4 linked regions of the Arabidopsis thaliana genome follow. The protein of the gene in region 2 binds, or shares a complex with, the protein of the main gene of each other region. Each region holds a gene or a part of one and is shown on either strand. Other genes may lie near its edges. The genes, in order: TEX1, THO5, THO1 and THO2.

Evidence for each region.
Region 1: THO5 (region 2) and TEX1 share a complex: the UniProt entries of both Arabidopsis thaliana proteins name them as parts of the THO complex.
Region 3: THO5 (region 2) and THO1 share a complex: the UniProt entries of both Arabidopsis thaliana proteins name them as parts of the THO complex.
Region 4: THO5 (region 2) and THO2 share a complex: the UniProt entries of both Arabidopsis thaliana proteins name them as parts of the THO complex.

What each region holds. Positions count from the first base shown.
Region 1 is NC_003076.8:22,720,509-22,728,065, forward strand, and holds TEX1 (Transducin/WD40 repeat-like superfamily protein), read right to left. Parts: upstream 4,592-7,557; 5' UTR 4,558-4,591; coding exon 4,492-4,557; intron 4,396-4,491; coding exon 4,300-4,395; intron 4,126-4,299; coding exon 3,996-4,125; intron 3,684-3,995; coding exon 3,592-3,683; intron 3,482-3,591; coding exon 3,413-3,481; intron 3,228-3,412; coding exon 3,170-3,227; intron 3,054-3,169; coding exon 2,954-3,053; intron 2,862-2,953; coding exon 2,775-2,861; intron 2,691-2,774; coding exon 2,612-2,690; intron 2,517-2,611; coding exon 2,381-2,516; intron 2,282-2,380; coding exon 2,247-2,281; 3' UTR 1,974-2,246; downstream 1-1,973. Other genes in the region: MYB80 (myb domain protein 103), read left to right, coding at 1-156; AT5G56120 (RNA polymerase II elongation factor), read left to right, coding at 975-1,685; AT5G56140 (RNA-binding KH domain-containing protein), read left to right, coding at 4,954-5,144, 5,659-5,744, 6,102-6,247, 6,660-6,773, 6,850-6,966, 7,049-7,192, 7,275-7,424. UniProt on the Arabidopsis thaliana protein: Acts as a component of the THO subcomplex of the TREX complex which is thought to couple mRNA transcription, processing and nuclear export. Contributes to the integrity of the endogenous trans-acting small interfering RNA (ta-siRNA) pathway.
Region 2 is NC_003070.9:17,149,603-17,156,509, reverse strand, and holds THO5 (THO complex, subunit 5), read right to left. Parts: upstream 3,615-6,907; 5' UTR 3,555-3,614; coding exon 3,072-3,554; intron 2,898-3,071; coding exon 2,561-2,897; intron 2,470-2,560; coding exon 2,177-2,469; intron 2,094-2,176; coding exon 1,848-2,093; 3' UTR 1,667-1,847; downstream 1-1,666. Other genes in the region: AT1G45229 (uncharacterized protein), read left to right, coding at 907-1,073; AT1G45231 (S-adenosyl-L-methionine-dependent methyltransferases superfamily protein), read left to right, coding at 5,316-5,407, 5,493-5,532, 5,610-5,643, 5,743-5,807, 5,882-6,298, 6,410-6,531. UniProt on the Arabidopsis thaliana protein: Acts as a component of the THO subcomplex of the TREX complex which is thought to couple mRNA transcription, processing and nuclear export.
Region 3 is NC_003076.8:3,064,768-3,074,422, reverse strand, and holds THO1 (nuclear matrix protein-like protein), read right to left. Parts: upstream 7,846-9,655; 5' UTR 7,609-7,845; coding exon 7,606-7,608; intron 7,507-7,605; coding exon 7,423-7,506; intron 7,347-7,422; coding exon 7,272-7,346; intron 7,176-7,271; coding exon 7,073-7,175; intron 6,913-7,072; coding exon 6,767-6,912; intron 6,688-6,766; coding exon 6,616-6,687; intron 6,490-6,615; coding exon 6,417-6,489; intron 6,327-6,416; coding exon 6,261-6,326; intron 6,165-6,260; coding exon 6,118-6,164; intron 5,929-6,117; coding exon 5,857-5,928; intron 5,730-5,856; coding exon 5,604-5,729; intron 5,527-5,603; coding exon 5,461-5,526; intron 5,382-5,460; coding exon 5,340-5,381; intron 5,208-5,339; coding exon 5,091-5,207; intron 4,999-5,090; coding exon 4,916-4,998; intron 4,707-4,915; coding exon 4,640-4,706; intron 4,513-4,639; coding exon 4,441-4,512; intron 4,342-4,440; coding exon 4,291-4,341; intron 4,202-4,290; coding exon 4,142-4,201; intron 4,065-4,141; and 3 more. Other genes in the region: CESA5 (cellulose synthase 5), read right to left, coding at 1-76, 154-329, 408-603, 987-1,067; AT5G09850 (Transcription elongation factor (TFIIS) family protein), read left to right, coding at 9,202-9,618. UniProt on the Arabidopsis thaliana protein: Acts as a component of the THO subcomplex of the TREX complex which is thought to couple mRNA transcription, processing and nuclear export. Contributes to the integrity of the endogenous trans-acting small interfering RNA (ta-siRNA) pathway.
Region 4 is NC_003070.9:8,738,948-8,746,708, reverse strand, and holds the start of THO2 (THO2), read right to left. Parts: upstream 4,770-7,761; 5' UTR 4,646-4,769; exon of another isoform or gene 4,559-4,645; 5' UTR 4,500-4,558; coding exon 4,365-4,499; exon of another isoform or gene 4,269-4,364; coding exon 4,143-4,268; intron 4,033-4,142; coding exon 3,991-4,032; intron 3,501-3,990; coding exon 3,441-3,500; intron 2,875-3,440; coding exon 2,812-2,874; intron 2,606-2,811; coding exon 2,525-2,605; intron 2,472-2,524; exon of another isoform or gene 2,259-2,471; intron 2,172-2,258; coding exon 2,100-2,171; intron 2,033-2,099; coding exon 1,985-2,032; intron 1,879-1,984; coding exon 1,810-1,878; intron 1,723-1,809; coding exon 1,589-1,722; intron 928-1,588; coding exon 852-927; intron 539-851; coding exon 345-538; intron 1-344. UniProt on the Arabidopsis thaliana protein: Acts as a component of the THO subcomplex of the TREX complex which is thought to couple mRNA transcription, processing and nuclear export.

The sequences.
Region 1 (7,557 bases), on a different chromosome or scaffold from region 2:
GGAGAAGTGGTTGATCAAGAGGAGATTGGATCTGAAGGAGGAAGAGGAGATGGAATGACGATGATGAGGAACCATCATCATCATCAACATGTGTTTAATGTGGATAATGTCTTGTGGGATTTACAAGCTGATGATCTCATCAATCATATGGTTTGATTTTTATTTGGTTCTAAGTTTTTTCCTTTTTCTTTAAGATTTCATTGTTTGGATTTTCATTTTCGATCACATTGGTAGTTAAACATTGGGTATGATTAATTAGGTGCTTTCTGTTTTTACAGAGATTAATAAGTTTTGCTTTGTAAAGCATTTTAATAAATGAAGAAATGTAAATAAAGAGTTTTTATTATTTTCATCTTGAGTATAATAAATAGATAACAGACATACAAAATTACAAACCTTTGATGTTGGCTTCTGCGTTGAAGTCTACAAAATCCCAAAAATGTCATTTCCAATAACTTGCGTATGTGTTTTGAAAGTAATTAAAAACAGAATCTTATTTGTTACTTTATTCTATTATTTTAGTAATAGAAAAATTCATAAATATATCACTTGTTATAAATTGTGGTGGAACAAAAGCAAACAATGGAATCATATACTTTAGAAAAGAAAAGAAAAAAAATGGAATCATAGGGCCTAGTTAAACTATAAAGCACATTGCATATCATTCGGCCCATTAAAGGCCCAAATATTGGCTATATGCGTTTTGGAGGAGAAAATATAGCCGTTAAAGTGAGAAAAGGTCTCTTACTATGTTATCGCAGCAGTAACAACATAACGTAAAAAGAAAACAATCCGACCGTTGTACATATAGCCGTTAAAGAACAACAATTTAAATACCTGAAATTTTGTGAAAGAAAAGGAATTCTTACTAAAAAAACACAACGAACTCAAATCTTCAATCTTCATCTTACTCTCTAATTGCTTTCCTATTCCGATCTCTGTTTCTTCATAAAGTCTCAATCTTTTTTTTCTCTATGGCCGGAACTAAAGATTCTCATGTAGTGGAGATTCCAGTAGATGAAGAGCATAAAGAGAGACAACAACAACAACAGTTGGTTGCGGTCTCAAATCCGGGAATGGGAATACTCAAAGTGATTCAGCAGCATCCGTTGTCTGAAATCTCAGAGAGTCCAGGACATTTGTTGCTTTTGAAGTTATGGCAAAGAGAAGAAGATTTGTTCTGTCGTCGTGTTCTTCTTAAAGAATCAAGACTAGAGTCAATCAAAAGAGAGATCTTTCAGCTTTGTTGTTTCTTCCTAGTCTTCCATGGGTTCTTCTTCACACTTGTCTACTCTTCTTCTTGTTCTGATGATGCTGACGTGGTGAAAAGTAATGCGGTTTGCAAGAAATGGTGGATACCTTCTGCAGTGTCATTAGCTACTTCATTGGTTCTGGTGTTTCTTGTTCAAGCTAAGCTGTTTGTGTTCTGGAAAGTTTACAGAGGTGTTAATAGGGAGAGGAATGATAATAGAACGCTTACACGGTGTGTTTTGGAGTTGAGGATGAAAGGGTCGAGCTTTGATTTGTCGAAAGAGCCGATGAGTGGGAAGAGGATGAAGAGTTCAAGCGTTGAGATCAAGTGGAAACCTGTTACTTGGTTCTCTCAGTATTTGATAACTATTGTTCTTCTTTGCTCTGCAGGGTTGTTCTTCCCGGTCTCAAAGTTCATCCTCTGCGGATTTTGACAAACTCTTCCTATTCACTGTTTGTTCGGTAAGCAAATCGTGTGCTCTTCTTGTTCTTTAATCCAAAATTGGACTCTCAGTAATAAATGTGTTTTCTTTCTCAGGACTCTGCATTCTTTCTTCAACCTTCATTGTGGGGATGATGCTTTTGGTCCGATCTTACCATTGGCCTCTGTTCTAGCTTTGAGAGAGTAGCTGTCAAATCTCCCAGACTGAAGATTCGCCGGAGGGAATAAGAACAACCTGTAACTTTTAGCAGTACTCACACATAGTAGAAAATTGATGTAATTCGGGATTAGAATTCTGATCTTGATCTTATTAATTTCATTCTTCGTTAATAATAAACAACATTGCTTGTATAGTAACAAATTTTTGCAATAAATAAAATGCCAGATTCAGAACTGCAAACTTTCAATGTATTTAGTGATACTGTAAGATTATTCCAACTTGATATACTGACAATACATATTTAGGTACACTAGGCACATAAACTTTTTCTAACTCAACAAGGAACAATCAAGTGGAGTTGTGTATCATGTTTCCCGATTCAGTGCTCTGTTCCTACGAGCTCTCAAAACCAAATATCCGGAAAACACCTGCAAAGAGATCCAAGTTGTTGTCATTGTTCATTTTCTGCTACCAATATTAGAGTTTTGAGTTGTTGCTAACAATGAAGTACTAATACGCGGTAGTACCTTCATCAGTATTATACTTGGGATTCTTGTCATCACCTGCATATGCAAGTAAATTGTATTTGGGATTCCACTCAACACTGTTCATGGCTGCCCGACATGGAATCTGATGCACCGTCCGCCCGGTTTGGACATTAGCCTGTTTGGTAGTTAGTGGTCAGATACGAGGAACTAATCTCATATTGAGGAAACTACATTGAAATTAGCAGTGTTTAAGTCTGGGCAATCACTTACAATATCAATGAATAAATCTTCACTGGCTGAAGCAATATACTCTCCCGAATAGTTGAAGCTTATTGTTCTGACTGGCCACCTGTGAGAAATAGTTATAAATTACTAACATGTAACAGAAATTAAACCTTTTTCTACTCTATGGAAAATTCATGTTGATACTCACTCAAGTTTGGTAAATGTTCTCAAACAAAGCATGTCTGAGATATCCCAAAGGCTTACTAAGGAATCCGCACTCCCGACAGCAAAATATCTGTTAAGGTAAAGAGGAAGAATTAGATGCAAAAGCAAAAAGATTATCATTCGTGTCTCAGAGGCCAGCCCACAAATGTAAATATATATTACCTCCCTTTAGGATCAATTGCAATACAATAACACCCGGCTGTGTGGGCTGTGAGAGTGTCAAGTGGTTTAAGAGATGGATATGAAAGAACTTCAACAGTGCCTGAGCAGGACAACATACAAAGTAACTTTCAGTAAGATCATTTTCTCAAGTTCAAAAACAAAGAAATCTTTGGTAGGGAATCGTGTGCAGGAAAGTACAGAATTTAAAATCCTCACCAAGTCCAGTAGTCAAGAAGAAAAAATCTCCAGGCATGTTCCAAGCAATCTCATTAACCTGTTACAAGAAGACAAAAGATAAGAGAACATTCCATACGGCACCAGAAAATTACTTGACGATTATTACATGAACAAGGAACTTAGGTGACATATAACCGCATGAGCTTGAAACAGGAGATACGGAAGAGCCTTATAAAAAAAAAGCCATTAATAAAGATTAACATGAGTCTGAGCTTACGTTACCTCATAATTGAATTTGCGCCTGTGTAGAGGTTTAAACTTACGGACATCCAGAATTGTAAGCTCATCATCCTACATTGGCCAGTAAGAGAAAGGACAACGACTATGAAAAGGGATCTATCAAGTAATCCATAGACAGTAAGAACAATGAAAGTGTAAAGATATGGGGCTCGAGACAATACCCTATTACCAACAGCTACATGTGTCCCGTCAGGTTTGTAGGTGATGTTTATATTCTCTCCACTAAGTTCTACCTGCTGTGTGCATTTTCCACCTGTAGAACTCGAAGAAGACATATCTCAGCAATTGATAGTAAAACATACAATAGTAGCCACATATCAAAAACCTGATCAAATTCCTCTCTTATGGAATCTGGCTAAATAACTAATTTATAATTCTAAGAAACTTAGATCCGATCCTCATCAATCAATAGTCTCCGCGATATGACTCAAAAGCAAAGGCCAAGATTGCGAGAAATATTTGTGAATGACACATAGCTAATCCATTAGAAAATATACAGATTTCTAAACCAAGCTCCAGGCATATTTCAGGAGCAAAACTAAACGATTAAAAGAATATAACTTACTGCGAGCATCCCAAAGACGAACGCTTTTATCACCAGAGGCAGTAGCAACAAGATCTGAATGTTTGGGATCCCAACATAGCTGATCCACACTATCAGTATGACCCTTTAGCTCAAGGTCCTTAGCCTTGCTCTGTATCCACACACCACACAAACAACCAAATTACAAAAACTACATAACTCAAAAAGTAACAATGACAAAGATAATAATCGAGTTTTAACTCAATCTACAATACTTCTCCATATGTATTCATCATCATCAAAAACACATAGAAGTTCCCATAGCTCAAAAAGGTAAAGAAATTACATGACCGTGTGGTTCGATATTCCAAATGCGAGCCGTTTGATCAACAGAACCCGAAGCAAGCTTTGTTCCATTCGAATTCCAAGCTACTGAATGTACCTTCAATCCAAAAATTCCCCCAGATTCAGCAAAAAACTAGGGTTTCGCAAGTTTTATTGAGTACAGAAAATTAGACTGGAGATAGAAAAAAAAAACCTTCTTCTTATGACCTTGATATTCTCTGCTATGTAAGCTCTTGAAAGGAATCGTCGTCTCCTCCATTTTTTAATTCTCAACTCTTCTTCTTCAACCTTCCTTCGCGGCCTACTGAATATCAGAGCTTCGCTTCCTGAAACGCAGCGTTTAGTCATTCCGGTATAGATAAACCGAATCGAATTTTAGTAAACCGGATGTAAAAAACCTTCTAGATGGTTAAGAGTCTTCAGAGAGAAACTAACAAGAAGAGCGGTAAAATTGGGTAAAATATGAAACAAAGAAAAAAGGTGAAAAAAAAAACAGCTAAGCAAACAACAAGTAATCATTTCACAGTCTCTATAAAATGACCTCTTAAATCCACCGACGTTATAGAGAGACAACAACAGCTTTGGTTCTGCCTCCGCCGCTTCTTCTTCTTCTTCTAATCTCCGACAGATTTACTCTGATTCTGTTGTCTTCGAGATGATGATGATGTCGTCGCTTGGTGGTGGTGGTGGTGGAGGAGGAGGAAGTGGTGGTGGTATTGGTGGTGGCGGCGGAGGGAGGTTTATGACGTATTCGTCGTCTCTTTCGGTGCCTCCTTCTGCTCCTCAGTCTCCTAATTACTCCGGTGGTCTCCGATCACAGTCTTCTGTCTTCGTTGAGCAAGAGAAGTAATCGAATCTTAGTTTTTCATCTTCTTTTATATTTTTGTTTTTTATTGTTTGGTGATCTTTTATAATTAGCTGATGTATCTGATGAAGTATGTTGATCTTTGCTTTGCTGATTTTGATTTTTAGATCTTAATAGTGTATCTCGAATCTGGATTTTTGTCTTTTTTGTTTTCTTTTGATTATATTAGGATCTATGTTTCGGAACTAGCTCAGTCTATTTCAGATTTGTCTCAATCCAGTTCATTTTTTGTAAAGCATAAGTCTTTAGTGTGTGAGGATCATTTCATTGGTTGTGTTCGTTTCTGTTATTGTTGATTTCTGTTCTTGGCTGATGAAACTGTTAAAAAAAATACGATTTTTGGAAGATTGACTAGATCCACTTCACAAAAGAATGGAAATTTGAATCTGGTTGTATCGATTTAGAGTGAATTTGAGTGTATCTGTTTGTAAGTTTGATGTGTCTTTGAGGCTTTTTTACTAATTTGGATACTCTGCACAATTTCTGTTTTGGCAGGTATCTTTCAGAGTTACTTGCAGAGCGTCATAAGCTTACTCCATTCCTGCCTGTGCTTCCACATGCATTTCGGCTACTAAACCAAGGTGAGCATTACTGTTTTTGTTGTTTATTATTTGTATTTTCATCTCACATAATACTTCATTCTTTGCTTCAGATTCATGAAGCTATAATACAGTTGATAAACTCTTAAACAGTACTGCTAAGAGAGACCTAATTGTTAGCTATTAGAAGTAGATCACGAAATGACTAATTCTATATTTCTTATACTGACTTCATTCTATTTAACCAGAGTGTATTTAACTAGAGTGAGAGCAAAAATATATTTTAAGCTAACTCAATTAACTATGCTGTCTCTCCATTCATTGGTGTCTTGGTGACTGATTTGTTGACTAATTCTAACTGGTGCGTCTTACTCTTGCAAATTGACATTTTTGGAACAGAAATTTTGCGTGTAACCACACTGTTGGAGAATGCTACAGTTTTAAGTCAGAGTGGGCTTGACCACCCTAGCCCTCTGGCTTCTGGAGGGATATTTCAGAATGCAAGAGCTGACATGAATGGATGGGCCTCCCAGTTTCCATCAGAAGTATGACTACTAACCATTAACATAACTCTCTAATTCATACTACTGCAATAGAAGTTTTATTGACTTAAGTTATAATACTGACATAACATATTTGACTGCTTTTAGTCCTAGTTTATCATGACAGGTAGGCTAACACTTCATATCCGTAATGTTTGTATGTTCATACCTTAGATCAACACTAATTAGATACTCCACTATCCTCACGAGTAGGATTGAAATTAATGCTATAATTTTCTCATATATCTGTGGTCACTGTATGCATATTATTAGGATATAACAGCTACAGGTTGAAATGCCTTGATACAGTGACCACTCTCATTGAATGAAGTTCCAGGGCAAGAAGTTGCAGTATTCATGTGCTTATGCTTAAAGGTTGATCTTGCTTCTAATTTTGTTGGTTGATCATTTGCAGAGATCTGTTCCATCATCTCCGGGACCAAATTGGCTTAACTCACCTGGTAGTTCGTCCGGTCTCATCGCCAAGCGTACAATCAGGGTCGATATTCCAGTCGACAATTATCCGAATGTATGAACTTTCATTTCTACACTGAGATATACTACTTCCTGGTTGGAATGTAACTCCTTAATTTTCTATATGGCAGTTCAATTTTGTTGGTCGCCTCCTGGGTCCTAGAGGAAACTCCCTGAAGCGAGTTGAAGCAAGTACTGATTGCCGTGTTCTTATAAGAGGAAGAGGAAGTATAAAAGATCCAATTAAGGTATTTATTATTAAACTTTACAACTTCATTTGTATCTACATTTCAATGTTTGTACAAGGTGTTAATATATTTCTTCTTGTAGGAGGAAATGATGAGAGGAAAACCGGGATACGAGCACCTAAATGAACCACTTCATATCTTAGTGGAAGCAGAATTACCGATTGAAATAGTCGATGCACGGCTCATGCAAGCTCGGGAAATACTTGACGATCTTCTTACTCCTATGGTTTGTTTTTAGCTCTCCCCCTCCCTTTGATTTTAAACCAGTTATTGTTACAAAGTTTTCACACTCGGTTTCTGTTTTATAGGAGGAAACCCATGATATGTACAAGAAACAACAGCTGCGCGAGCTAGCATTGCTCAATGGAACTCTTCGTGAAGAAGGATCTCCAATGTCCGGTTCTGTTTCTCCTTACAATAGCCTTGGTATGAAGAGAGCCAAAACAAGAGAAGGGTAAAAACCATCGAACAGTTTGGCTGTGATCATAAAGCAATATGAAACCGATCCAAAAGTCGACACAAAAAGGCCATACCACTCTTGACGACACGGTACTGTCTCTTGTCCTTGGGGTAGAAATGTTGTATATATGA
Region 2 (6,907 bases):
CGTTGCTTTTGTAAGTCAGATTTCCTGCTGAATCTAATGCAATATCTATAAATGAAATTCGATAGGAGTTAACTTCATGCCGTAAAATCATGCATCTTGCATTTCTCTTGTTGTAAGCTCTATGCCAAAGGTTTTCTGTTGTATGTCAAGCTATCTATTCCTTTTATCAAGTGACAGAGAGATGCATAAGCATAACTATCCTTTTCTGGAGAGTGTTACTTTCTTATCTGCCCTTGGTTCTCTAATGCAGCATCTCTCTAGTGTAATTTCTGTCACAGGAATTCTTACTGACAAAAAACACCTTTTCCTGAGGAAGTGGAAGATGCGTTTAATGCACCCTTGAATATGTTCCTCCCATTTCCTTGTCAAAGGTAGTTGTGTTTTTATTTCCTCTGAAAGCATCAGTACCTTAAACGTACTTGTCCAGGATGATAAATGGATATCTCAGGAGAGACTAGAGCGGTGAAAAGTATTTGATCCAATTCTTTAGCTTGCGTTCAGGAGATAAGGATTAGTTATTGTATTATAGTTGCCGGAATCTGATCAGAGCCACATCTGTTATTTATCAAAATACCATCTGCTTTCATTGAGCAGGGCCTATGTTATTTGTATCCAACAATTTTCGTTTGTAAACTGGCCAAGTTGGCATTCCGTGAATCAAACTCGGGGTTCTCTCGCACTGTCATTTATATCTTGTTAGGTTAATGCATTTTATTTGGGTTTCAACCAGCTCCGAAATTTTTTTGTCGACCTGGTTTAGTCGCTCAAAGTGTAGTAAGTTTCCTAGTGAACTGAATTTAATTTATATGTGATATGTTCATGGCCGACCATTGGAATGTACCTGAGGTGGCTCAGTGGTTAAAGAAGTTCATGTAATGTTTTTAGTACTCTTGTTTTGCTTTGTAGGCTATATGGTGGAGCTTGAAGCTGAAGTTGCAAAGATAGAAAGAAGAGAGGAAAAGTTACTAAGGAAGCCGGTAATGACCGACCACAAAGACATCTGCTCATATGTTACATTCATCTCTGTTAGTTTTAGAGTGTATCTCTTCTCGTGTTTTGCAGGCAATATGTAGGAATTACAGAAGAATCAGGTAGCTCTTATTCCATCTTACACTATTTTTCTACCATACAAAACTTTATTTAAACGGCTTATGCGACTTAAACCTGTCGTAGTTTCTACTGGTGGAAATTACCTGCAACCTGAGAATTGAATCCTCCCCATTTAGAATGTCTTTGGGTAAAGATCTGCTCGTAATGAGTTCATAGATCTATGATTTAAGCTTTGTTTGACACCAAGAAATCCGCTCTTACCCTCTAAAGTGCACTTTGTTTGACACCAAAACTGCTCTCACCAATCTTATTGTACGCAACTTCAACGCTTACAGCTTATTAACTCCATCGTTTTTTGGTGGGTTTATACAACAGGAGATGGAGATAATGAATCTTCAAGGAAGCCAACATAAAAGCTGTGGAAGATACTGTCAAATATAGATCATGCTCATACTTGGTTTCTATAGATAAATCATTCTAATTATAATGTTTAGTTGAACTGTGTTCTCATCTTTTATCAAATTGTAACCTCTCTCTCTATACATATATACAGGATCATCAGAATCTCTTTGCTTAGATATTGCTAAAGCTTAACCTAGACGCAGATGTCAAAGTCACTCTTCTCATTATGTTTGTTTCATCATAAACATGAAGGACAACTCTTTGAGATGATGAATTTGATATAGTCCTCCCTCATCATTATGTTTGTTTCAGATACCAAGAACTAACTGACTTACAAATATGAAAAACTTCTACTACTGTCAAAAGATGGGAAAAAACATACTGAGTGGTGTGACTCACACAAGCGTTAGCTTAGTCTTTTTCTGGGACCGTATTCTTTGCAGAACGGTTTGCACATTGCGGTGATCAGAAGCAGAAGCATAGCCTTTAGCTGTATCACTATATTGAATATCCTTGTCAGTAAAAAATGGTGACATTTCAGGTAAAGTCTCAATCCCCGCCAAATGTTGTGCCCACTTATATGGCCTCGAAGTTCTGCTTTTATCAAACACATGATCGTTGCCAAGAATGAGCTTGGCTGACTGTATAACCGTAAAGGAAGTGAGTATGACTGTTTTCAAGCAAACATATGTGAATGAATATCAAAAAGGAAAACCACATGTACCTGATGAGGAGGCTCAAGTCCAGAATCGTCTGGAAATAAGTTACATAGTATATTTTTCTCAAGTCCATCCTCAGACTCTTCAATGCCAACACATACAACATTCAACTTCAACAAGTACTCAAACTTGAGCATGACAAGTTCATGAGATTTCGGATCTGTAATCTCGTCATCATAAACATGAAGGACAACTTTAAGAGGATGAACTTGATATACTCCTCCCTCATCAGAACCCACTTTCTTGAGTCGTTTCCTTTGCCTTTCTTCATCAACACCAACCTCTAATCTTAGACTCTCTGTATTATTGAACATACATGTCATTTTAACGAGCACATAACTATTCCATTTTCAATTCTTATTTTAACTAAAGGTGTGAGAATTGCTAACCTGAGTTCTGTTCTGCTTGCTGCCGCGCATAAGTTTGAGCATCCTTAAGACTCCCAGATACCTCAACATCGATATTCTCTTCGAAAGCTTCCTTCAGTGCCATGAACTGCGAATATATAACATAAAGCGGCGGAGGAAGAAGCTCAGCTAGATTATGATACTTCAGCTTCTTCTGATTCTGCAAACTCAACTGGCTCTGTACTGGCAAAGATGCTTTCTTTAGAGATTTGAGATGCACTGGAAGACTTGACAGAAACTTGTTCCTCTCCGCATTACTTTCAAGTAAACTCTTCTTCTGTTGCTCCAACCTCACTCTAAGCTTGCATAGCTCTTTCCTCTGTGTATAACAAACTTAAACATTCAATCACTTTTGAATAAAAACTCCAACAATATCTAACACATGAACTTGGTCTAACGATTCGAGACAGAGATGTATAAAGCTTAACATTGAATCACATTGAATCAAGCTACTACAAGACCTTAAAGACATGAACTTTGAAATGAAATTTACCTGATGAAGCTCAAAATTGAGTCTTTTAAGCATCAAATCATGAGAACTATCATTTGATAACGTTTGAGATTTGATTGCTTCGGGAGCATCACTGAAGAAGTCTTGTTCGGATATGAGATCGATGTTTGGATACCTAGATTTGAAATCTCTACTAGCTTTATTAGCTTTGAGGTAATGACTCTTCTCATACATGAGATTGTGAAGCTCCAACGTCGTGAAATCCACCGGAGATTTTGCTATTTCCGTTTCTGTTCTCACTTTCTCTTCTTCTATAAGAATCGAGCGATTCGCTTGACGAAGATTGATGAAGTTGAGAAACATCTGAGTGAGGAGTTCTCGATTCTCGGATTTAGGGGTTCCTTGTTGCTTGATGGAGAGCATCTTTGCTATGATTGCTTCGACGGAGGCTTTGGTTTGTTGAAGTAGCTCTAGTGGTGATTTCTCCGCCGTGGCCACCGTGTCTATCGCCATCTCCGATTGCATAATTTACTTCCTCTGATCTCGCCGAGCTCGGAGAGAGGGTTTTAAAAGGGGAAAAATGTCAACAAAAAAAAAAGCCTGAGCTTTCAAATTTGGATAGAAAAGGCATGAACTTTGAAAATGTCATATTAATTATGAAGTTTTGATTGACTTCTCAGAAAAAAAGCTAACTTTCGTTGACTGGCCCGTTAAAGACATGCCGTTAAATTTCCGTTAACAGAATAATAACAGAGTTATCATTTCGTTAGAAACCCAAAACGACGTCGTTTTAAAATTTAAAATTAAACAGAAAAAATGACTACCACCTGAGCTCAAACATGAGACATGAGAATACTTTTACAAACATCCAAACCATTTAGACAAAATAACATCTTCGTATCAAATAACAAAAGTTTATATTTAATATTACATAATTAACAGAAACTAACAAAACTCTATTGTTGCGTGCCATAGCTTTGTATTTTTCTCAAGTTCACAAAACCCAATCGCATTTCAATTTTTATGTTGATTGTGAGATTTGCGATTCAGATCTGTGTTATCTTCGTCGAACATGAGCTTTAGATTGTGATCTAATGGATCTATATGTATTTTTTCTCAATTCCCTCAATTTTGAAACCAAATTATTAAAAAGGTTTGAGAAGATGAACAAAATTACAGTTTTGATACCTAAGAGCTGGTTAATGCTCAAACCACAACAAAGATCAATAAAACAAAAATCGCTCACTCCGATATCTGTCTAATGGAACGAAACCAAAACGCCGATGGAATCCTGTTTACGGAGAGAACTCCGATTCTAGGGATAGAGGAGATGAATGAGAAGACGAATAGTTGAGTATATATATACATTAGTGTTTGTCACTTTGACAAAATGTAATTGTGGGTCAATGGTTTATAATCTCGTAATGAGTTTCTCATGGTAACGGTTCCAATCTTGGCAAGGTTCATTTTTTCTGTTTAATTTTAAAATTTAAAACGACGTCGTTTTAAATTTCTAACGGAGTGATAACTCTGTTAACGAAAATTTAACGGCAAGCCTTTAACGGCTCGGTCAACGAAACTTAGCTATTTTTTTTGAGAAATTAACTAAAACTTCATGATTAATACGACATTTACAAAGTTCATGCTTTTTTCATCCCAAATTTGAAAGTTCAGGCTTTTTTTTGATATTTTTACCGTTTTCTTAGAACTAAGCCGGTCCGGTTTGGTTCGAAATTTTGATATTTCAATGTTCGGTTTGAAATCAACTTCACCTCATCAGACCGAAATTTGGTTCAGTTTATGGTATAAATAGTGCCGATTTGTAATCGAGTCGGTTATTAATTTAACAATTTCGGTTTAATTTGGTACATTTTTGATGGTTTTTAAAATAAATTTTCGTTAATTTTAGTTTGATAGTTCCAAACCGAACATAATCAAACCAATTAATTTTGATTGATTTTAGTTTTATAGTGCTGATTTTGGAATGGAAACCAAATTCGGTTCAGTTTCTGTTAAATTTGGTATGTTTAGGTACATTTCGGTCAACTTTAAAATAAAATTTCGATAATTTCGGTTTGGTAGTTCCGAACCGGACCGTTTATCAAAATCTATGCTTCTTCTTGCCGATATCTAATTAACCAATCCAAATCAAACTAGACAAATTTCGGTTTGGCTCGGTTTATATACCAAACGACAAAAACTACTAAAAACGGCGTCGGTTCAAATACCAAATTCCCATATAAGAAGAGGGGTCTATGGGGGGTTTTGATTCATACTCCTGAAAGAATGGGAAAGGTCAGAGGCGAAGTAGAAGAAGCAGAAGGTGAAGCTATTGAAGCTCTGGGTTCTCTCTTCAAGCTTACTCAAATCCATCTATGGTAATAAATAATCCTTTTTGACTTTTAAAAAATAAGATTAAGCTCTTTTGTTGACTTCTGATTCTCCTCTGTTTCAATTCCTCAGGGTCGATACAGATACTCCTCTCTTCCATCAACACAGTGGTGTAAGTGTGTTCTTTATAACTCTGTATTATGTTTCTGTGATTTCGATTCCAATTTTGGTTCTTTTTGTTGAATGCAGAACAAGAGTGTTGATGATACTTATGGAATTGCCAGTACGTCTTTACTTTTTAGGTTATATCTTCAAAGTTTTGATTTTTTAACTTTTTTCTGCTAAAGAACTTGAAAGTTGTTGAATTTGAATTTTGTTATAGACAATGGATTGATGAAAGAGATGAATGATCTTGGTCTTCCGGTTTCCTTTCGAACAAACAAGCAGGTACCTTTTCTTATCAACATTCATGGGTTTTAGTTAGTTTATTACATTCTCTGAGAATTCAACAACTTGTGTAGTGGAAGAACAGAACTAGAGGCTATCAAAAGAAAGGATTCAAGGATCGATTAGACGAAGAGGTTAATGTTATTCTCAAAGTAGAAGACACTTTGAATTTGGTGTCTGCTTTGAATGAGGAGGTTGAGAGTCCGTGTTTTGAGGAAGATTGTGTACAAGTAATTGAAGTGGAAGAAGAAAATCATGAAGTTGTTGTGGGGAGCTGTTTTTTGGGAAATGGAGATGGAGACTCAGTGTTGGCATCAGAGACAATAGATTCTCATGACTCTAGTGTATGGAAGGTCTACTGGGATTCGTTCTATGGACGAAGTTATTTTTACAATTTTAAGACACAAGAGTCAAAATGGGAGCCGCCACTTGGGATGGAGCATCTAGCTTATAGCGATGAAAGTCACAACTTGAGTGAATTGGTCATAGAGGTGATTGAGATTGATCTCTGCCTTTTCTATCTTTCTTGTCAAATTTTAGTTGATTTTGTTTATTTACTGTGTTATTGGTTCTTTTCTTTTTGGTATTAAACGACAACAAAGAAGCATCATGATGACTTGTCTGGAACTGTGCTTGGCGATGATGTTCCCTTTGACAAAGCTGACGATCTTGGTGGAGTTTGTCAAAGTCAACTTGAAGCAGAAGCCACAGAGGAAGTTAACAGGTATTAAAATTCAACAATATGTGGTTTTTCTTCCTTCTGGTTGTATTATAATGGCGTTAGGTTGTTGGACCCAAACTAAGTTAAACCAACTTTTAACAAAAGAATTAACAACCTTATCTTCTGCAATATAAATAGTCATTGATCAGAACTATGTTGATCTCATTAATATGTGTTAACTAAGCACTGATTAGCAACCTTGTGTGCCAATACTTGATATGACTACAAGCAGAGTTGTTTTGGCACAACTTTAAACGTTTAGAGTGTCTGTAATGGTCTTGTTTGAAGCTATTGATATAAAGCCGTATAACCTCGAACATTTAGCTATGTTACAATATTAAATGCCATAATTTTGAAACTACCGGTATGCTTAAAAAGT
Region 3 (9,655 bases), on a different chromosome or scaffold from region 2:
GTTGATGAACCCTATGGATATGGCCAGGTGATGGAGAAACAATGAGAGCATGACTATCAGAAGAAATTTCAACGTCCTAGAAAAACAACCAAAATGAGCAATAAAAAAGGGACAATAAAACAGTAGAAGTGATTGGGGAAAATATGAACCAACCTCCTCTCCATAAGTTAACAAAGGAATCTGTGAGCCAGGTGGAGCAGAGGCCAAATCAAACTCCGAGTTGCGGCGAGAGAAAGTTTCAGATTCAAGGCCACTCCTACTATAATCAAACTCAAAATCAAGATCATCAATTCCATCATCCTCCTCATCTCCTTCAACCCTTGGACTTCCTGAAAACAATAAGAAACCTTTGTCAGATACATAAGATCAGACAAAGGTTAAAACTTGTTGAAACAAGTAAGTGTGACCTTTGATGCGCTTGTAACGAGTTTTGCACTGAGGACAAGATTGGTTTCCTTCTCGTCTCTCATACTCATAGCAAGGTCTACAGACAGGGAAAGCACATTCATTACATGCCACAAAAGACTCTCCATCAACACTTAGCTCAATCTCATCTCCACAGATTTGACATGTTTGTCCACTTAGTTCTTCCACTGATCTAATCTGTATATTGAAATCAGCATAAGCAGAGAATTATGAGAAACACACATAGATTGGATCTCAATTAGAACACAAGATTCACTAGCAATTAACTCAAAATTTGTTTCTTTTAAAGCAAAGTATTAGATTTGGGGATTTTTTACACACTAAAACTCAGAATTCAATCCCCACCGACACAAACTTTCACTGTACATGATGATAAAAGTAGGTAAGAATTATGGAATCGTGTACCCTAATTGATAAATTAACGATGAAATGTAAAACCCAGATCCAGAATAAGAAAAAGGCAAAACCTTTACACAGAGCAACGAAAATTTAACAATGTGTGCAAATCAAAACAGAGAGAAAGAAGTGAAAAAAGCTTCAATTTTGATATAAATTCTTACTCTGGCACTCTCGTCTGCATTAATCAACACGAACTCATTCCTATTGTGAGAACCAGCGATGAGCCGACCACCAGTATTCATAGTACCGACAAAACAGTAGACAGTATGTCAAATTCAGACACACACACGCAATCTCTAGCTTCCGAGGTCTGCAACCGGGTCAAGTCAACCCAACAGGTTGGTCGAGAGAGATCCAGTCGTTACAACTCCCATCAAAACATGCAATTACAAGCTTTGCAGAGAAGATTTCTCAGTTTCTTCTGAAGAAGTAATGAGGAAGATGGGTGAAAGGTTAGGTATTGGAGTGAATCCAACTGTTTTTCTCTGAAACTCCAAATGTACGCACACACACAAGTTCACAATCAATATAAAAGAAGAGATAGTGAAAGGTGAGCTGCAGCTAATTAAAGAGAGAGGGGCTAATGTAGAAGAAGAGGAGAAAGAAGAAGACGCGTAATGAAGAAGACGAAGAGAGAGAGACACAGACGGAAGATATTGAAGTACCTCCTCAAGTAATCAACTACCAAACCAAAGTAGAGAAAGAAAACCACACAAACTACCAACAAAAAAATAAAAAGAGATTTAGAAAATAAATAAAAGATAATAAATGAATTTAAAATGTGGGACCCAGTAAAAGTGTGTCGCTTGGCGCTCTCTGTCCTCCACTCCTATTTTGTCTTAACAGTTGGTAATTTCGTTAAATTCTTTATACAAAAAAAAAAAATACTGAGTACTTATAAAGTAGACACAAAAATTAAAATGTATAAATTGACTTTAAATTGACGTAAGAAAAATTAAATGAATAATTTTGACTCACTGAGTCTTTTTATCGGAAAAGGACGAAAATTTTATATAGATTTGGTAAACATTGGATCACCCTTTACATTTATTATTTCCCTCTATTTTGTTCTTCTGTCTCCTGAGTGATGACTATACTAATCACAATAAAAATAGATTCACAAAAATAAAAGCTATATATATAATGCTTAGAGGATGTTGAGCACATTGGTTTTGACTTTTAACTGTGTTTTATCAATGTACTTTATATTAACCTGAAATATAAAATTAGAAATGTTCAAGGAATAACTTTCTTTATTTCTTTCATTTGCCTTGATACAGACTTAAATTCTCTAATTCTATTCACTAGCTCTTGCGTAGATACAATTAAATTAGGCTCCACCCACACCATTATTTTTCCCATTTGTCTTTTCTCCTGTTTTGCATATACAAATTTAATGTACTGTTGACCACAAAATATTATGTACAAGTGGAAAACAATGTGCAAATTATTGAGACTATCATATCACATCATATTTATTTATATGCCATACATCCATATGTATACATTTGCCGACAATCTATATACCTATATATGTACACTATAAGTTAAGTCAAGAAAAACTAACGTATTTTTTAGACAATATTTGCGTAACACTAAAATCACAATATATGATGTTTTCAATGTTTTTAACCTGCTCTTAAATTTCAATAAAGTACTAATAAAGTTGTGAGTTCGTCTTCTTTATATATAAAAAAACATATGTAATTTTTAGTGTTAAGCTAATATATGCCTAAAGACGTAGTAGGTTTATAAAAATAAATATCTATGATTAGAATGCATTCTAGGTACTGTTTGTTTCCAAATCCTTTGGGCCACATGATCTGATAGAAAATTAGAAAAGTGTCGGTGCCACATGTATCTTTAGTTTCTTCCGGGAAAATGATGAAAAAGTAGCATGTTGTTGTTTTGGCAAAAACCTTTTGTATTACAATAATTAAATGACTTTGTTAATAAATCATGTTTAAACAAAAAATTAGTATATTCGGATTATGTTTAGATCGATCTACGGTTTTGTATTCAAACGATAAGTAACAAAAATAGGCAACTTTTCATTTGTCGTTGACAACACAAATCACTCGGTTGTCTCTTGGTCGATTCTTTATCGCATCGCTGTGCCAACATTGTTTAGTCTTTTTTTTGTTTCAATATGAGTCGACACTTTTTTTGTCATAACAGTGCGACGACTATAAGACAACTGTGATCTTATGTGACAGTGCATCAACAATTCAATAGTGAATTTGGGTAAATTTATAAGGTGATTTGATATGCATTGACAAGTGATAACGACTAAACAAAGTATATACATTTTCAATGATTGGAGGTAGTAATAATATAACCAAATAAGCCTACAATGAACTGGTATAGTTTCACGTATTATTGGATTTGGCATATGATGAAACCTTATTATTATATGGAGATCGGTGGTGTTTATGGACTTTAAAAATCGTGACACGACTTAAAAACCACTCATTTATATTCTAAATAAATATTGATGGCAAAACATAAAGTTTATGTTGATAGCTATAATAGTAACACTTTTAGCTTTTGGTTCCTCAAGTATTTGATTTTTTTGTTTGTTTGAGTGTATTTTTAGTGGATTGCAATTGAATCCAATGTTTATTAGCTGCGAATATGTGTCTAGTGTTACACTTAGACGATAAATTACGCAAAAGAACTTAATTGTATGATGATTTTGTTGAGTATATAGAAATGGAAAGACAGGTAATAAGCTAGCAGATTTGCACTCATACAAACATATTTAGAAAATACCTTTTAACATAATTTGTTAAACATCAATACTTTTGAACTTCATATCCAAAGGATTCCCCATTGAAGAAAGGGTCGACAAACTGAAAGCGTATTCATGAGACGGGCATAGGAGGATGATCAAGATCAGTGTCCATCAGACCAGCTTCTTCTGTCTCTCCGTCTTCGATTTGACCGGCCTCTTGACCGTTTTCTGTATCAGAACCACCGAGTCTTTGCTGTTCCTCAGGCGTAGGAGTGTCTGCAATAGCATCACTCTCCATCGTCTCTGCATCACCCCTTCCTCCTTCAGCTTCAGCTTCACTATTAGAAACACCAATCTGGTTTCCCTCTGTTTCATGAGATCCACCTTTGGTTTCTTCTTTCTTCGCTCGTTTGGCTTTTTCGTTTGGTTTAGCTTGGTATTTGGACCGGACCTCAGGCGGCAATAGTTCAACTGGGACAACTCCTTCGATTCCCATTTCAGTAAACTGTGAAAAAGAAAGAAAAAGGTTTTAAAAAGCAATCATATGAAGCATTGGGAAATCGAAATCGAAGAAAATTTTACCCTAGAAAATCCTTCAAGGTCTTGCCGAGCTGTAAACCGAAGACCTTTCCAGCAGTAAACCTATCAAAACAGTAACAATTATCTGCCTTAGACTGATTCAATTAAGCATCATAAAAAAAAAAGTTGTAAATCAGAGGAAAGTTATATACTCTGTTGTTTTTATGATGGTACTCATCTTCTATGCCAGCTGATGGATCCATCTGAGATTTTAACAAAACATCAGGTGTGCTAATAAGACATCAACCATTTTTTTTAAGATGTCCTTTGGGAAAAATAAAGAAAACAGTATGTTAGCTCACATCTTCTGCTAATGGTTTCCAGTAGTCTGCAATATCAGGGGTTCGCACGCGTTGAGAATCAGTCAAAGCATTCTGTTATCCCATCAGATATACAATTATTGTAGAGTCGTAATATGAAGATTGAGCCGAGAGGAGAGCTGGAGAAGCATGTGGCATAATATGAACAACGAACAAGGATGCAAAGAAAAATAATGCATACCGGATTTTGATCTGCCCATCTCCAAAGTTGGGAGAGTTCTTTATTTCCCAATCTCCATCTTTGTCTCCTGTAAAAGCAAAAGATAACCCATATTGAGCCTAATACTCGTAATGCAGATTTATTAGTTGTTTCTCACTTTAATGGACTAGCGACCAGAGATCACTAGGGAAAAAACATCTTCTCAATTTCTTCCACGTAATGTATTCTAAATTCGAATGGCGGACACCATCTATGAGTACAAAGCAGTTAGATTACAAGGTCAGCTTTTCCCCATACCGTTTCTTTTGCCCTGCATTAGGTGATTTCTTATCTATCGGTTGCTTTTCAAATGGTGGACATCCATCACGTTTCCACCAGACCTGTTATTTGTGTATTGTAGAAGATCATTAACGGCCCTCAACTACAAGCCAGAAAATCATGCAGCAGGTAAGAGAGAAAGCAGCACACATACCCAATTCTTTTCGCGCTCCAGTATATGCTCAACTGCACGGAGGAATTCTTTCCCTTTAGGCGGAGTGATCTCAAGCAATTTCTTTACACGATCCTCACATGACTTAAGTTCTTCCTTCTAGACCGAAAAGATAAACAATACCTTTGAGTAATTATGCATAAAACCCTGAATACTGAGATATAACTAGGTTTGTGAACCTTTGAAAGAAAGCAAGAGGAATTTTCTCATTAAACAAGAAAAAACACTGACCATGGTTTCAGATGGCAGATCTTTGTCGTTCTTCCCTGGTGCCTAAACGGAAACAGGATTCAGTTATACCAGAATACCAGAGAGAGTAATTTCCGTGCAATAATTCTTGAGAGACATTTACCCTTAGATAATCAAACATAATGAGGCACTGGAGAAGAATATGTCGTCGGAAACTCGAATCCTTTAACTGTGGCGAAAGGTAGAAAAAAAAGTGAGTGAACTGCTAAGTTCAGAAGTGCGCATGTCCAACCACAGCATACTTACCTCTAAACCCATCAATTTACTACTTGTTAGGTACTTTATATTAAAAGTTGCTGCCTCTTCCTCCAAACTATTAGCCTCTCCCTCTTCTTCGCTTAGTGGTTGAGCATCAAAGGTGTTTAAAACAACCTACATAAGCAGTTCAAGAAACAAGGTCTAAGATGATTTCTCACTACCGCCAGCATGAATTTTCTATGCATATACATATATACAAGACCAGGTAATGCAATTTAGTCAAAAACCAAAGATCACATACCGCCAAACTGGATGAAAATTTCTGCCACTTGGTAGATGCGGAAGTAAGAGAAGCGGGATTACAGAAATACTCCTGGAAACGAAACAATTTTCTCAGTAAGAAAAGAACTATCTCAATAAACTAACTAACAAAAGGAAATTTGAGATGCTATCTCCAGTAATGTTGATTTTGCATGATATGCAAACAGAGGTTCTATGAGACAACCCTTATGATAAAGGCATAACATTCGTTCCCTACAAAGTTCCTTTAACTAATACGCACCTGTAAACTCCAAAATGTCTTGTAGAAGTTGAAATCTACAGAAATGCCTGAGAAGCAATGACATAGACAGAATAAGTAACACGTTTTAGAATTGTCATATGGAGATAAGGACCAAAAGCATAAGAAAAAAAAAAATCACTTGCCTTTTGGAGGATCTTTTTCATATTTGGTTTCATTAGATGTATTAAAAACACCTTTTATATTGACGGCTGAAAGAATAAGTCACGCAAGTAAACGTTACACACCTTTTAAACATTCACATACCAAATAATCGTATATGCACGAGAAACCCTTCTTACCTGAGCGCTCAGATAACGGAAAAAAGTGAGCCAAAAACATAAGAATCCTTCCACAGAATACAACATCATTGGCCTGTATGCCAAATAGTGAAAGCAAAAAAAAGAATTAAAAAAGAGTGGATGTGTTATATATGAAAAAGTAGATTATGACTTATGGATATTTGACAAAGGGAACTAGAAAAGGGTGCAGATAGCGAACCTTTGAGAGTCGGCGGAGAAGTTGGTTGCAAGTCCTCAACATGACAAGTTTTCCGCGTGCAAAAAGCTCTTGCTGCAAATAATTGCAACATCCAAGTCAAAATACAAGATACAACTAACCGAGAAAAAATTTGATTTCGTTTAAGAAATACCTTGCCCAATATATCTTGTTTGCTTTCAATATAACCGAAAACATCTTTACAGTTTTTCATAGTAGACATTTCGGTCAAATCCTCCAGCAGCTGGAATATCATGCCACCTTCTACATGCTCTTTCTCACAAAGATAAAGCACAACATCTAACAAAGCAATCAAAACATGAAGATGGTGAGAGGTTAGACAAAAGTAGTGAGGACAAGATGATAAGCAATAGACAACAAGAGAATAAGAAGTTTTACGGGGACAACGCTAGCACTTGTTTGAACGAACTATGCAAATCAGACTAGAGAGATTGCTAACCTAGAAGATGAGGAATCTGTCCATGTATATCATCATCATCATCATCATCGTCAATCAACTGACCATACTGCATAATTTGCTCCCCTGATTGCGCAGCAGCAGCCTGAAACCCCGAAAACAGAAAGAGAAATCCACACATATATAAATGAACAAGTATATACGCATACCACGAAAATATAATAGTGGAGAAAGAAGAGACCACTAGCTCCTGCAGCAATGTCCGGAGCATGTTTTCAAGCATTTGGTTTTCATCTTGAGCCAACTTTGTTTGTTTCTGTCAAATTTTACAATAAAGACAATAAGTAAGACTAAAGGAGTGAAGAAATTGTTAGTTGATTCGAAAGAGTTACCTGAGGTTGTATAAAGTGTTGAACAGTCTTGAGTGCAAAGGTTTCAATTGGAGCTCGCTGCAATATAGCATCTCTAAATGCATCCTGCGAAGAACCACAAATTGCAGAAAACAAGTTTTTATAAGCTATATAGATTTAACAAGAAGCAAAAGAAAACAAGTCTCATAATCCCAAAAGAGTTACCATTATTTCTCAATGAACCAGCTTCCACTGCAATGAAGAGGAATTTACCGACGACACCAAAACCGGATATGCCGGTCAAAATTCACGGACTATGAGTCGCCGGATTTTAAAAGTTGATTAAGAAGAATTGAATAAAAATCTGGAAACGGAGGCCAAACTTGAAGAAGAGTGGAGGAAGAACAATTTTAATTTAGGGTGGATCCGGATCCGGAAGATATCCTCCCAACAATCAAATTATCCGCAAATATCCGGGCTTGGATCTGGATCCGAAATATTTTTAATTTATAAACTGAATAACAACATGTTCATTGGGCCTTTCATAGTAAAATGATATCCGTTGGGTGGTGGGCTTCACATTATTTAGTTTTACAGAAGACCTTTGCCTGTATATGTTGGATATGGCGTAGTTTTAATGTGTGGAATCAAATCAATTAGAAATTTAAAACATCTGTATTCAAAAATTGCTCGAAATTGTTCATGGTATGTTATTGCAGAAGAAATCATAATAGCTCACATGAGAAGGATTTGAAGATTTCAAAAATTGCTCGAAATTGTTCGAGATAAATATTAGGTTCCAATAATTGCATAAAAGACATTGTATTCATAATCTACACTCAACAAGTGATAAATAAACATTACTTCCTAACAAAGTAAACTTTGATGGATCGAACACCTCCTTCAACACCTAAAAACTCGGATGTGATCTTCTCTTTGGGGGTTTTGATTGTACCGTCGACGTAAATTCACTAAACGATTAGTGAGTGGCAGTGGCTCATGAGATGAAAGTCATGAAACAAACACTTTGAGACCAAATGAAAATATTGATTTGACATATTGGGTCCACTTGCTATAGGGCCAAAAATTTAGAGGCCCAATAACCAAAAAAGTCGAAACATGTAAAATGTTTCTCGTCACTTGAAGAAAAACTAAAAAAAGTAAACGCCATTATTGAAAGAAAAACACTCACATCTCTCTCTCTCTCTCTCTAGAGCTGTTCATCTCCCCAACCACAACAAACCAACTTGCTTAGCTTTGCTCTGTCCAGGGCAAAGAGCATCATCCCTCAATAAAGCAATTCCCATTTTCTTCTTTTACTTTTGTCCTAAAACTGTTAATTGATTCTGTCTGAATATTATTTTTATTAACGGACCAAACAAAAAAAAACTTGCAGAAGAATGAAAGAAAAAGCAATAACCCTCCAAACCAAATTCTAAAGCCTCAAATTTGGAATATTCCCTTTCTTCTTCATTCCCTTTTTTTTTTTTAATTTGCCATTTACTCATTATTGATCTTATGTGAGACGACCTCCTCTGTTTCTTTCTTCCTCGTAACAGTAAAGGGTCTTCCTTTTTAATCTGAATTTACCAATCTGATTCTTCTGTTTTTTGTTTTTTTTATTTGTCTATCTTTTAAACTATTTGAAATCTAAACTTTGTTTGGTTCTTCACGATTTTTAATCTCCGATGAATCAAATTCATCAAAAGATTCATCTTTTAGATCTGGTTACGTAATTCGATTTGCTCTGTTTTTTGTTTTTCGTTTTGAATTCTTTATTAAGTAACCAAATTTGGGGAAGAAGGAGGAGTGTGGGTGATAATGGATTTGGATGATTTCCGATCGGTTATGGATAACGCAGGTGTTGATGTTTGGACATTTATCGATACGGCGATTCTTGTTGCGTCTCTTGACTATGGTCAAGAACTGAAACGTCGGAGAGATAACATCGTCGAGCGTCTCTACGCTACGTCGATGGCTAACAAGTGTAGAAACTGCGATTTTGGCGGCGGTGGTAACGTTACGGAGGCGGCGATTGGTAGGGTTAATAATGGGAGGGTTCACGAGGAGACGGAGGAGGAAGATGAAGAAGGAGTAACAGCAGCAGCAGAAGAAGAAGTTAGAGAGAAATCTGTTAATGTTGAAGACGATGACGATTTCGATCCCTTTGCTGGTTTGTTTGATGATGAGCAGAAGAGTATTGTTGAAATCAAGGAGAAACTTGAAGATCCTGATCTGGTTTGCTTAAAAGTTTTTTTCACTTGGATCTTGATTT
Region 4 (7,761 bases), 8.4 Mb from region 2:
AGATTAATTAGCAAGCTTTTAATATAAGTTAAATATACAAAATAGCTTTGTATGTAAACAAATTTTCTAGGATAGTATGGATCCTGAGATGTGAATTCGGCAGAAGACACCAGTAACAGTCATCCAATATGCCCTCAAGTTCAATTTTCAAGTTACAGAAGGTGATGCAATTATCAAAAAAATAACAATCATATATAGAGTACTCCACGAAGAAATCTCATGCTCATGAAGAATAATAAAACTTAAAATTTAACATGCACTGGTTCAAGAAACCTGTTAACCAAATGGACTGGTTTGACGACAGTGGATTTGTTAAGTAAAAAGATATGATTCGGTGTTCATACCAATCGTCCACAGAGAGGAAACCATTAAGTAGGCCCAGAGTCTGATTATTTTCAAGCTCTGGTAATCGCTCAGTAACAGCTTCACTTTCCATGTCTAAAGCAGCAAAGAGATCTACTGTGACATCTCCTTGCTTCTCATCTTCCATAAGATCCTTCCCAGTAGCAGCGAGATTAATCTTTCCAATTTTATTGGCCTGTATAAAAGGAAGGACTTGTAAAAATAATAACTCATGAATAAATCTATGAAAGTAAAAAACAAAAAACAAAAAATAATTGGCTGGCTTCCAGGAAGATGGAGAAGTGCTTAGTATCTAAGTATTTATTAAATTTATGAAGGCAAGATTAGCAGATTACCACAAGAGCAGAGAAACCATGTTTGTTCGTTTGTCTCAAGGGAAAAAAAGGTTTTAACACATAAGAAACATATAGACAACTTACGGTAGGCCAGAACAAAACTATCTTAAAACATCTCTAAGCATAAGGACGAGGTCATATATTGAACTGTACCTCTTCAAACCGCTTTGCAGAAGAAACATTATAATCCTCAAAAACTTCCTCGTCCTTAGGTAGCAGATGTGCATATCTGTTCACAACAGCCAGGCAAAAAAGTATAAGAATATTGGGTCCATACATTCAGTATGATTTCACTTGTTAGAGGCACAAAGAAATGTAGCAATCTAGTAATCACCGAATCAGTACACTGATGAAATAAGTTAATGAATTGAGTGAGTTGCTCACGAGAAAATAAATTAAGTCTACTAGCTAGTCCTCCTTAAGAGCAATCTCAAAGTAAAAAAGTAACTTTCAGAGTACAGTAAGAAACAAACTTAAAATTGATACCAAACAACTAGAAACAAGAGACAGGTGCAGAAGAGAAGAGAATCTTTCATTTACATTCCAACTGATCTAGTCCTATTCTCAATGAAAAAAAAAACTCGTTATGAAGAAGACATGTACAAGAATCCAATTAGAAAGAAGACTTCAGTCTGCAAAAAAGGATAAAAACCAGTGTGCAAGTATAACCTTATTCTCACATAATGAAAAGAAAAGAAATCGTCATGAAGAAGACTACCTACAAGTATCCAATTAGTAAGGAGACTTCAGTCTACGACAAAAGATAAAACCAGTATACTTTCTTAAGGCTACACATAATGCTCGATTTTGAATATTCCCGAGAGGCTCCAAAGACCTTGAAAGCAAGAAAGGAAAGGGCGGAAAAAACAGTTGAAGAAAAAACTACTCACATGCTTTCAAGATTGATAAACTCTTCCTTTACTAGCAAGGCTGTAAGCTTATAGAGCCCAACTGGAACAGGGCTATTCACCTCTAGTCTCTGATAGTATTGGAATTTAAATCCAAGAATTTGTGAAGCATGAGACTGCACATGAAAATTATTTTTTTTAGCAAAAAATAGTCTCTTGAGCTAAGCATTAGAAGATAAAAATACGAGGAAGACATTCCAAACCTTGGGAAAGATAGGAATTAGATTGAGAAATGTGTCGTAATCTTGTTCGAGTTCAAAGCAATCTAAAACCTATTCATCAAAAACAAAGGGTACATTATTACTAATCGGGAAGGACAGATTGATGCGTTATGCAATATCAAACAAAAATATGACAGAAGCAACAGTGAAAACTTACAATGTCGAAAACACGGTTTGGATCCAGGTCAAAATGCCCAATTAATGACTGCAAGAAAATATAAAGTTCAGAAAAAGTAAATGGGCGAAATATAATGTATTGGCCGAATCAAAACCTTGATAATTCCCATCGTTGCTGCTGATGCATTGTGCGAAGAACTTGCAGATCCTCGGCACAAAAGAGTGGCCTGCACTCCACAAAAAGGAACTGCTATAAGTTGGTGTATGTATAATCTGACTTAATCGAATCTCTACTGAGATAATATGTTCATTACTCTGCACAGTTATAGGTAATAAAACTAGCAGAAGATATGCCTTCCAACTGGAACCGTGTGAAAAGGAAAGGCCAAATCAGCATTGTTGAAAAGATCATCCCTTCCAAAAACTAAAGGGGTATTCCTTAAAGTTGTGTTTCAGAAAAAACAGAAGTAAAGAGTATCTAAGAAAAGACAATAGAAACGAAGTGGACAGAAAGAATGACAATAGATAAAAAAAAAAAAAAAAAAAAAAACTAGACTGCTAGAGATCTTCTATAACGAACCAATTTGGCATATCCCTCGCTTTCTTCACGGAGTAAGTTGAACTTTGTCTGCTGGTACAGAAGACGAGTGTTTAATCGCACCTGAGAAGCATCAACCAGAATTGTTACTTATAAACAATGAGCAGTAGTTACACAGGTAAAGTAGAAATTCTTATAAGCATTAATCTTTCGCAATAGCAATTCACTCAGAGTAACTATTACGTAAATCAGAGCACAGTGCAGCTGCATTGATGACTAAAGTGTGAAGTCATATTAATACAGCAGTTACAGAAGTGTGAAGTCCTCACCTCTTTCCCCTTCAAATCTTGGGCCTTTATTTTAACCATATCAGCTTCCCAGAGAAACTCCTCCTAAAATAAAATAAATAAAACGCCTTCAGAAAATTTTCTTCTTACTGATCAAGAAAATAGAGAGGTTAAGTGGGTGGGGTACAAACTACTCAAATTGGGAATAATAACAAACATTTTAGGACTTGCCCGCTCCTATCCTTTACATCTACAGCAAGAAGAAGAGGGCTATTCCGTGAGACCAGCTGGTCCACTGGATCTTTGAGGACAATTCTTCAGTCTTAAGGGATTAATGTGACATTCGAAACAGGCTACAGCCTTGAAGTTAACTTCTATAACTACCTTAGCAGCTACAATAACTATTATTTAGCAGTCTCTATCTATCACTCCAGACTTGTTCAAGCTACGGTTTCTATGATGGGCAGTAGGATTGCATGATGCACATGCTATATAGATGAGGGGTACCAGTGAGGGAGTTATCGAGAACTAGTGAAAGGTGGAAGGGGGGATAAGAGGGGACTCTATTAAGAAACCTCTCAAAGCTGTATTTTCTTGTTTTAAGTTCTATTAATATAAAGATTCTCTACGTATTACTCTGTTTCATTGGCTGAACGTAACATAATGTTTACCTCGCAACGCTCTTGGAAAAGCCTTTGAGGGACTGTCTGTGATTCCACAAGCCATTTCGCCTACCAAAAAAGAACAATTGGTTCATTAGCTGTGAGCATAGAAACCTTGAGGAGATGGTAAATGAGAACAGAAAGAATATTTTAAGGAAGAAACTAAAGTACGCAATCATCAAATTCAATAAAATAAGACATATGCTAACAACTCCTCTGTAAGCAGCTCATCAGAGAACATTGGATCAAGCATACAAGGAAAATTCAATACCAAACTACGCTAATAGATCATCTAAGGCACTATGGTCAAAGTTTCAGCTCCTTAGGATGAAGTAGCCTTTTACAATCAGGAACTTTCTTGCAACCTGCCCAGGATGAGCCATCGGTTGGTTGAACCTTAGGACACTACTGATAGCTATACACCACATGCCTAATCTATTCATAGGATGTTACTTTTTGTGATCACTAATATCTAAAGAGCTAGAATTATCTTTCCTCAAGACTAACAAATCCAAACAATGATCAATTTTCAAAACGTAAAATAAATTCTAGCACTCACCAATTTGATTAGACGAGAACGTTGATCTCCCGACATGGTAAGCTGCAAAACAAAGCAAAGAGAACACGAACCCAATCAATCCAACGATCAGTATCAATAACCTTGCACAATCATCTCTGAGCTAAGGATGTCAAAACTGTAATTGGACTTACGTCTTGAGCTATCTGAGTCACAACATCCGCAAAACACGAAGCTAATTCTTCTCTCGATGGCTTATCCAAAAACTCCACACCTTCCAACACTGCCTTACAGCTCTGAATTGGCAATTCGCCACGAACCTAATAATCCATCACGAGGCACCGTTGAGGAACTCGAACAACATATACGCGTGATTGGATAGTAGTAGGAAGAGAAGGTGGTGTTTGTGTGTATACCAAAATCCAAGAGAGCTCGTAGAGGAAACGAAGCATCGGCACAGAGCTGGGCAGCTTGGTTCCATAGTTGCCATTCTTACCTTCACGAACAAACTCCTCCGTCACGTACTTACACTCCAGTAGCGGAAGAGACATCTTAAACCCCTTTCGTGTGTATGTATGTATATCTTTCACTCTCCTCCCTTTTCGAAACCCTAGAAGATTAAGAAAATAGGGTTTAGACTTCGATTGGCGACCAGAAAATAAGCATTCCGATAAGATGAAAAGGGAGAGGAACGAACAATTTTGATCAGAGAAGAAAAAGAGAAATTAGGGTTTTTGAGAGATTATTTGATTTGGTGGAAGTAAATTGAAGACGATGATGATGACGGTGTGAAGATGATGCAAATATGTTTTTGATTTTGCAGAAGAGGGGACTATTCTTTTCCTTTTTCTACTACTTACCGATTTTGTTTTTCTGTCGTCTTTTGTTTCAGCAAATTATGTTGTATACAATTTCAATACAAAACCGGGTCCGGTTAAGTCGTATGATTTTGTTTTGAATGGGCGTGAAACTATGAATTGGTTGTTATTGAACAAGCCCATGGGCTCAGATGATCTTTGAGTCCACCACGATACTACTAACAAGGCAATTAGGCAAATATCGAATTAAAAATGTTAATTACATCTTTTGGTCCTAACAGATATAAACAAATAGAAAGCAACGAGTACAAGTACTAGCTAGTAACATACCAAATTAACTAAAATATGGAAACCAAAACCTAAAAAATTTCTCAGCGTTCTTCGCTCCATTCCCGTTTTCAACCAGAATCGTTAACTACTCGGGACAAAAAAACGATCAAAGAAAGTCAGAAAAGATCCATAAGCAATTGAAAAGTTGATCCAACTTACAGTCATCTTCTCCTTCTTCTCCTCCTCGTCCTCCTTTGCTCAAGAAACAACAACAAAAGAAAACGGGTCGGTTTGACCAACGTTATTCGAAAGCTATTTGTTTTAGGTCTGGCCTGTTTATAAACTCATTATGTTAAAATCTAATCCGCTAAAAGTCATTTATAGTTAAACTTAATGTGCCTGTATTGGCGCGAGGGCTGCTGTTATTTTGTTATGTTCAAATCAGTGCTTCCAAATTGCCTCGTCTAGAATTAAAGAATATGCTTAGAAGAATTTTTGTTATATATTAAACATTTTGGTTTTTGTTAGGTTTTTTGGATCACTTATAATTTGTAATGTTGAATTCATTTGTTTTTTTTTATTAGTCAACCAGACTTTCCGACATTATCTATTATTAACTACATGTTTGTGTTTCAGTTTAACTAATTTATTAAGGCCATAGGAAAATCGTCAAATACTAACCACACGAAATAACTATAGATACTGTACTTTGGTGTCATTAAATTCAAATTGGAGTTTCATATTACCCGAAAAATGAATCGTTTTATAATTTTTATGTTAGTTGTTGCGACGTATTTTGGATTGCTTGTATCAGTTTTGTCTTGTAAACGTAACACAATTGAAATTATGAATGATCTTGGTCCCGGTTTGGTTCTCTAGTATCATCGTCATTCAAAAGACGACAATTTAGACGTCGCAAATTTACAATTCAAGGAACTAAAACAAATCCGTTTCGGAGACATGTTTGGAAGAAGGACAAGATGGACTTGTCTTTTGAAACACGGCTTATACATGCGATATTATAAAGATTTTGTAGCATATAGAGCAGCCAACATTGATCGATGTGATGCTCTACGTCGTTAGATTGCTAGAAATGATGGAATTTACCTTGTGAGAAATAGAAATCCTCAACCAAAGTTCCATCATGCATGGAATAAAACTAAGTAATGTTGATGAAAATACTATTTTTGTTGTCTTTACAATTTACGTCAACATTCTTCGTAACCTAAAAAAAAAAAAAAATCTTCATAACCTAGGGTTATAATTTATAGCAAATCAAATATGTATCCATTATATGGAAAACGAATACAAACTACTTTTCCGATCCAGACAAACAGACAGTGTGTCGTCTTTTTTAATTTTTTTGTATTAAATCTGATTAGAAATCAAACAGTATAATTATGTTAAGTGCAAGAGACAAAACCGTGTCTGTTTTAGCCCAACAGTGTCACCCGAAACAAATCCATTCCTAGGAATATAGAAAGAAAATTAAAACAAACAAAGAACAATTTAGAAAAGACACCAATTAACACACAACACAAAGACAAATCATAATTAGGATGCTTCCATAAGATAGAGAATTAGGAAACAAGAAACGTCCTCTTTAAGACAACTGTTCTTCCCTAGCTCCGAACTCCTCGATCATCATGTTCTTGTTCATTTTCGCGTGGATCTTGGAACAGTTTGCAAGGCTTGAGCAAGCATGAATTAGGTCCACCAACATTCCCAGTTGAAATAACAGGATGCTTTTTTGAGATCACCACGGAGTTGATAACATCATTTGTTGGGTGATAAATAGACAAAAAAAAAAAAGTCTTTTTCTTTCCTTTTTCTACTACAGACCGATTTTGTTTTTCTGTCGACTTTTGTTTCAGCATAAAATAGAAGAAATTATGTTGTATACAATTTCAATACAAAACCATGTCCGGTTTAGTCGTATGATTTTGTTTGAGTGGGCGTTAAACTATGAAATGGTTGTTATTGAACTAGTCCATGGGCTCAGATGATCTTTGACTCCACCACGATATTACCAACAAGGCAATTAGGCAAATATCGAATTAAAAATTTTAATTACATCTTTTGGTCCTTCTAACAGTAACAGATATAATAAACAAATAGAGCAACGAGTACAAGTATTAGTTGACACAAACGACAACAGAAATAGACAGTAATCAAGTTTCGTTCCTTTGGTTTTTGATTTTTATGATCTTCGACCAAATCACGTGATCTAAAACATTGACTTTGATCATTAAATCACTGCAATGCTTTCAGTTAATTTCTGACGTAGAATCATAAAGAGACGTCGTTGTGTATCTGACGACCACACAATATTTTCTGATTATTAAAAGATACACTTGTTCTACAAGTGAATTACAACATCATATAAATTTTACACATCCAGAATCTGGATCTTTTATCTATATAGCAAATTAGCAAGCACTCTTTTGAACAATGAAGCATGCATGCTTTATCTACCAAGAAAGTAACAAAGAGTATCAATCATATACAAGATAACTAGAGAGCTGAAACTAGGTAGAGAGCATTATACCTCCCATATCAGAAGCCATTAAAATCTAATCTTTGTACTTGATAGTTACCACTGAGGTTCCAGTAACAAAACGGGTACCTACCAAAATCAACTAAAAATATGAAAACCTAAACCTAATTATTTTCCGAGATTCAAGAACACTAAAAGAGAGATTTTACAATGTTCTTTGGGATTCAG